Mus musculus: one gene and its partner. Each later gene encodes a partner of the first gene's protein in a complex. Links are inferred from orthologs where the notes say so. Each region holds a gene or a part of one and is shown in the gene's direction. Other genes may lie near its edges.

Region 1 (3,638 bases):
GGGACTCTAATCCATGTCCTCTGGAAGAGCAGCCATCGCTCTTAATCCCTAAGCCTTCTCAGGCTCAGATTAAAGAATTTTTAACAAAACATCACTGCCCCTGCTTCCTTCCCTTCTTTACCTAGATCCACTTGCCAAAAGGATGGCTTTTAACTCTTTTGTATTAGATTATTTTGATACTTCCATATCCATAAATAATTTTGTTATTATTTATTGATTTCTTAGTTATAGATTTTTATCTTTTCAGCATACCCCCTGCCCCCCAAGCATTTTGGGGTGCTCATTGGTTTTACTTTTTAAGACAGAGTCTTACTATATAGCCCAGGCTAGCCCTAAACTCACATTCCCTGGGCCTCAGTCTCCCAAATGTGGGATTCCAGACATGAGCCTCTACGCCTGGCTTTTATTTTGTTTTCTTTTCTGTACATAGCTTTTGGTTAATATGTGTTCTTAGGTATTGTATTTTGTTTTGATTTTCATTTTTTTTTGATGCTACCTATTTATTTATTATTTTATATATTTATTGTTCAAGGCGGCAGCATGAGCCAAGGTCCATATGTGGAGGTCAGAGGACAGTTTGTAGGAATTGATTCTCTCCTTCCACCATGAGGCTCCTGGAGATCAGTCTCAGGTCATTAGGCCTGGTGGCTAGTGCGTTTATCTGATGATCCATCTGGCTGGCCCTAATACAGTACCACTTATTGATTGCTTTTTAGACTTAATAGACTTTCCCAGAGTCTAGATTGGACCTCATACCTCTGTCCCCTTTAGATGACTAAATCTGGAGGCTTGTGACAGTCAAAAGTTTTAGATGATGTTGTGTGGTTCCTTTTGAATTGTGACAAGAGGCACACAATTTAATGACCTGTAATAGTTCAGAGGGATAATTGTTCAGACTTGCCATTAAGTTTTGGGAACTTTTCTCACAATCCTATCCTTAAAAAAAAAAAAAAATCACAGTATCAAGAAATCTATTTTATCAGTTTGTAGTATATATTCAATTAATAAAAGATGAATGGGAGCCAGATGTGGTGGCACATGCCTTTAATCCCAGCACTTGGGAGCAAGAGGCAGGCAGATCTCAGAGTTCAAAGTCAGCCTGGTTGGTCTACAGAGAAAGTTCTAGGGCAGCCAGGACTTTACAGAAAAGCCCTGTCTAGAGCCGGGTGTGGTGGCGCACGCCTTTAATCCCAGCACTTGGGAGGCAGAGGCAGGCAGATTTTTGAGTTCGAGGCCAGCCTGGTCTACAAAGTGAGTTCTAGGACAGCCAGGGCTAAATAGAGAAACCCTGTCTTAAAAAAAAAAAAAAAGAAAGAAAGAAAAGAAAAGAAAAAGAAAAGCCCTGTCTAAAAACAACAACAACAACAAAAAACAAAAAACAATAAACAAAATCTCTTAGAATATTTTGAGCCATAGATAAATGAAAAAAAAATTGTAAGTCCAAACAAAATTCCTAGGTTTAGATACACGCTGTGCTGGAGGCCAGAGAGATGGCTCAATGGTTAAGAGTATTTGCTGATCTGTCATGAGAACCAGAGCCCAGTTTTCAGAAACCACATCAGAGAGAGAGAGAGAGAGAGAGAGAGAGAGAGAGAGCACGCACACATACACACCCCCTACCTACTTCCTAGAGAGAGAGGGAGAGAGGGAAGGAAGAAAAGGAGAGGGAAGGAAAGGAGAGGGGAGGGTGGGAGGAAGGGAGAGGCCAGTAAAGAAACACCAAAAACACCCTATTCAGTGTCTGTTCACTTAAGAATTCCAGTAAGGATCCCCAGTGTTGATGTGTTCTTCAGTTACCTTCCTTTCCTTCTACTCTCCTGGCTTTTGTTTGTTTGGTTTTCTTAATGTTTTCCCCATTGTCCAGGTTACTGTTCACTCGTTTAACAGAGTTATGTGGAAGATAGAGATCGCTTGCTCAGTGCAGAGCTCTTGACTAGCCAGTGGGAGGCCCGAGGTTTGCTCCTAGCAAAACACACAAAACCAAACCCAAAACTGTTTTCAATGTGTTTGCTAATGAATAAAATCTGGTATATTCCTAGAATTGTTAATGCTGATATACATTGTATCATTTAGCCTCTAGTAGCTTTAGCAGAGTCAGTGCCTGTCTGACTCAGGCAGTGTACTTGTATGTTTCCTTTTCTGTGTTGAGATAGTGTTATTGGATTAACTTAAGTGTTGATGTTTCTTTCCCTAGCAATCAGCAGAACGCTGTGTAAGCACACTGCTTGATCTAATCCAGACCAAAGTAAATTATGTGGTCCAAGAGGCAATTGTTGTCATCAGGGACATCTTCCGAAAATACCCCAACAAGTATGTCAAAATTCATGTAATCTTCTTTCTCAGATCATTTGGGAAACGTATAAGTAAGGCACTTTGAAATTGACTCGGTAAGAATTATTATTCCATATATAACTGGTCATAGTAGATTTTTTTTTAATGAAGTCAGAGATACATAGTGGGTATCAAACAGACACTAAAACTTCTCGTTTAAATATGGGAATGGAGTTTTAAGTTGGCCCCATGTGCTGGGATTACAGGCATGAGCCACCATAGCAGCTGTTCATTATTTTTGTAGAAATGAGGCTTAGCTTAAGTATATACTTGGCATAGACTACATCAAACACATAAGATTGTTTGTTGTGTCAGAGTTACCATTACACAGGAAGCCTATTTATCCCTAGGTGTCTTGATACACTCGCTCCATGCAGACCAATGATTGTGTCCTTCCTCCTCTCAGAATAACTTTTCCAGCCGCCATGCTGTTTGCTCAGCATGGGGCCCCACTGCCTTGTGGGAGCAGCAGAGTGCATTCAATAAGTTACTCCCCTGGCCTCTGCTGACACACTGGGGCTGCTCCCACAGGGATCATTTACATCACAAAGTTTTTACTGGGGCTCTTAGTTCATAAAACAAAATACTTTGATTCTGAGACCTGCAGTCCAGAATTAGTGCAGGATTTGGGTTTTTGTGAGATTTTTTTTTTGTTTTGTCTTGAGAAGTGTTATTTTTAGAAAGAGGACCACCACCTTTTACTCAACTCCCTCCAAAAGTGAAGGATCAAGTTTCTAAACTGTTTTGTTACAGGTTAAGGAAAAAAAAAAGATCAATAGAGAAATGTGTAAAACTTGTGTAAATAAGGGGTTATGACAGTTTAATTTCAAGAAAATAGTCAGAGTCTGGTTTAATAAGTAGGAATAGGGCAGATACTTGGCCTAGTATACTAGTTATCCACATTAATATATTCTGTTTCAGTCTAATGTTGAAAATCACATTAGCCAGCTAGATCTGATGGCATGGGCCTATAATCTCAGCTATTCAGGAGGCCAAGACAGGACATGGACAAGCTCAAGCCAACCCTTGCAACCTAGCAAGACCCTGCTTTAAACAAGAGGAGAGCAGTAGGCTGAGAATACTGCTCATAGGAAAGAGTTTGCCTGGTATGTGTTGGATCCTAGGTTCAGTCTTCAGTAATAAAAATAAAATTTTAAGTTATGTTAGTAAAGGACGTATAGATTCAGCAAGGTGAATACGTAGTTATAAGAAAGGTTGATTTTTAAACACAAGATAATGGTATTTTCTTATACCACAGGTTAATTTATTCCCTCGTGAACATGTCTGTCTCATGAGCTCTTGTACAA
Region 2 (3,184 bases), on another chromosome or scaffold:
CGCTCATAGGCTGGTCATGTGCTAGATGGCTTTTGTTCCTAACCCTTGCCAGCATCTCGATTGTGCTACCTCCTACTTTGCTGGGGGGGGGGGTGTCAGTTTTCAGCGGCTGGCACCCCCAAATGCCCTGTAACCCTGAATAGTGGGACTTCCACTATTCATTAGTAGTTCATTCAAGTATGGTTAGGCTCTTCGCCTCCTGTCTTCTGCTACCTGGTCCAAGAGTTCTGTGAGTGTAGGGAATCCTCAGATAACCCAGGAGGACTTCCCAGAAGAAGTAGCCCTCACAGTTGGTTTAGGTATGCCTGAAGAGGCAGGTGGTGAGCAGCCATTGTTGGAGGGACTGGACAGGAAGTGCTTCAGTAGGTTTCAGCTGCCTCTCCAGGCTGTGGCTTCATTATGCCCTAGGCTGTTTGTGGGAAATGAGAGAGCTAGGCCCCTGCCCCCTTCCCTCAGCCTTTCGGAGCTTGGCATGGGGTGGGCACCCCCTCAGCCCTCCAGTTCATACTTGCTTTTGCTGGCTGACACTGCACCCATCCCCACCCCCATTTCCTGTTTTTCAGGCCCAAGCCGTCACCCTGACTGTAGCCCAAGCCTTCAAAGTTGCCTTTGAGTTTTGGCAGGTGTCCAAGGAAGGTGAGTCTTCCCCCCCCGGGCACTGTGAGTGATGTGGGAAGGGACAGGTTCCAGGCAGGCGTCAGACCCAGGCTGACCCCACCCTCATCTCGTCCTGGGTTTGTGGTTCTGAACAGGTCCTGTTACTTCTCTAAGCCTCAGTTTCCCCATCTGGACAAAGGCCGTCTTCCCCCTCCTTTAGAGTGTTTGGGTTTAAGGGAACCCTGGAAGGTGTTGCTCCTCTTTGATGGCGACCTCCGCCTGCCTCTGAGCATACTCAGCCTGCCTCCTCCCCAGTGGCTAATTGGAGACGGTGGTGTCTGCTTTAAGGGCTCAGCAGCTCATGCCTTGATCCCACAGAGAAAGAGAAAAGGGAGAAAGCCAACCAGGAAGGAGGAGACGTCCCAGGGACCCGACGGGACAGCACCCCCTCACTGAAAACCTGTGAGTCTTGGGCACCAGGCTTGCCCTCTACCCAGGCCTTCCCTCCTGGACTCTTGCTGTTTCCTGTTCTGTTAAAGTCTGCAACACAAGTGCCTTGTCGGGAGCTAAGAGGTTGCTGTGCTTGCTCGTGCGCGTACCTGGGTGTGCCCTAGGAATACGCACAAGTGCATATGCGCTCCTGTCTGCCTCAGAGCCCGGTAGACATCCCAGCCTACTTGGTGTGCTTTTGTGCATTCAGTTCCTGTTAGGAATTTGCAGGTTCCAGGTCTGCCCTCTGGGGCCACAGGTCCTCTCTAGCAAGCAACTGCCCTGGAGCTCCAGGTGGAACTGGGTCCGGGTGGGGATCCAGGTGATCAGGGTCCTACATCTGGACAAGGTCAGAGTCCGAGAACAAGTCAGGACCAGTATAGTGCAGGAGTACCAGAATGCTTGCAGAGGCCAGAGGGGCTGTACCTCCTTTCTTCCTAATGTCCCCAACTGACTCCCCCTAGTGGTCGCTACCGGGAACCTGCTGGATTTGGAAGAGGTGGCTAAGGCCCCGTTATCTACAGTCAGCGCTAATACCAACAACGTGGACGAGACACCACGGCCTCAGGTCTTGGGCAACAACAGCGTCGTCTGGGTGAGTAGCTCTGTGGCCTGGGCATGGTTTGGGGATCCAGTGAGCTTTAGCCAGGTCTCTGAACGAGCATGGAGTGGTTCCCAGGTCCAGGCCCTGAGACCATGACTTAGAGGCCTCTGGGCGGACTAGACCCAGCACAAAGAACCCAGGCTCTGGGTGGAGTGGCTGAACAATGTCCCCTCTGAAGCCACGGTTGTGTCCTTGACAGGCCTGGTCCCCAGCACAGCCGTCTCCTCACAATACTCTGACTTGGAGTCTGTGGCCCTTCCCACCCTGAGCAGCAAAGGCTCCCTTGTTCTGGGCATGGCAGGTTTGTGCCTGGCATCTTCCCTTCTCAGCTGTCTAAGGGCACAGCCCTGCTGCTGGCTCTCAGGACTCATGGCCTGCGCCTGACCTCTGTGTCAGCTTTTTCTTTCCCTCAGTGAGGACACTGGCCTTCCACAGCATCTCCCAGAGGAACCTGAATGGCTCTTAATTTCAGTTTTCATTTGGGTTTCAGTCGGTTTCAGTCTGTATTATCCCAGTGCATCATAGACAATGCAGATGTTAGCATCCTAGCAGCACTGACGGACCGATTGGACCCTGCTCCAGCATCTGCGGATTCCTTGCTCCATTTGGTCCTGGCTAGCCTTCTGGGCCAAGAGTCACTGTGGAATGACACCTGGTGACTGTCATGGTTCCAGCCTGGCCTGGCCTGGCCTGGCCTTGCCTTGCCTTGCCTTCCTTTCTTTCTGTCAGGTTGTTTTGACTTTTGAGACAGAGGCTCTCTACATAGCCCTGGCTGTTCTGAACTTTGGCCTCAAACTCAGAAATCTGTCAAGTACTAGGATTAAATGTATGGTCCACAGGCCAGGCCCCAGTTTTGAGACCATGGATTGGGTATGAAGGAAGCCTGCCTGTGCTAGTTCCTATAGGCACCCCCTCCCCCCACCACACACACACATACAGGTCCCGGGTCCCTGTAGCTCCCTTGGGGACACGACCCCACCCAGAGTTCTTACTTCTCCATTTGTTTCCCAGGAGCTGGATGACGGCCTGGACGAAGCATTTTCAAGGTAACAAACACTCTGAGGGCTTGTGCTCGGTGCAGGTCTCGGGCTGGACCTGGGCTCTCCTTTACCCTTGGGCTTTAGCTTTCTGCACAACAATTCTTGGATTTCTCGAGACCGGGAGCTTACTACGAAGGAACGAAAACCTTGCATGGTGTCTGATGTGTGAAAAAGCTTTTGCAGTTCAGTCAAAATGCAGGCGTAGCTTGAGAAGGCTGCGGGTGAGGACTGGGTTCCTCTGGTTCCTCTGGCCCGGGTCCCTGGGCCTCCTTCGTTCCCCCTTTGGATGCAAAGGGTCTTCATTGCCTCCTGTCTCAGGGCTTTGCTTAGGGTTGGTGCCTTTGCCCTCCAGCCTCCCTCCTCCCTCTTGCACCTCTTGCTGCAACCAGGGTCCGATCAGCAGGTGAGGCCTGGCCAAGGACTCAGGCCTCTTTCTCCCACCTTCCCGAGTCAC

What was found. Proteins that work in one complex are often made in the same cells at the same time.
Region 2: the proteins of Ap2b1 (region 1) and Ldlrap1 are in contact, whole or in part, in a crystal structure (PDB 2G30), measured with the Homo sapiens proteins. The link is inferred for Mus musculus from reciprocal best matches to the Homo sapiens genes AP2B1 and LDLRAP1. Residues at the interface, in NP_001273.1 of Homo sapiens: Arg834, Gln835, Phe837, Leu838, Trp841, Glu849, Gln851, Ile876, Ala877, Arg879, Val881, Glu882, Gln884, Met886, Tyr888, Glu902, Arg904, Ser915; in NP_056442.2 of Homo sapiens: Asp253, Leu255, Asp256, Ala258, Phe259, Ser260, Leu262, Ala263, Gln264, Arg266, Thr267.

Annotation. Positions count from the first base shown.
Region 1 is NC_000077.6:83,337,119-83,340,756, forward strand, and holds part of Ap2b1 (AP-2 complex subunit beta), read left to right. Parts: intron 1-2,194; coding exon 2,195-2,310; intron 2,311-3,638. UniProt on the Homo sapiens protein: Component of the adaptor protein complex 2 (AP-2). Adaptor protein complexes function in protein transport via transport vesicles in different membrane traffic pathways.
Region 2 is NC_000070.6:134,747,834-134,751,017, reverse strand, and holds part of Ldlrap1 (low density lipoprotein receptor adapter protein 1), read left to right. Parts: intron 1-563; coding exon 564-636; intron 637-975; coding exon 976-1,059; intron 1,060-1,550; coding exon 1,551-1,681; intron 1,682-2,701; coding exon 2,702-2,736; intron 2,737-3,184. UniProt on the Homo sapiens protein: Adapter protein (clathrin-associated sorting protein (CLASP)) required for efficient endocytosis of the LDL receptor (LDLR) in polarized cells such as hepatocytes and lymphocytes, but not in non-polarized cells (fibroblasts).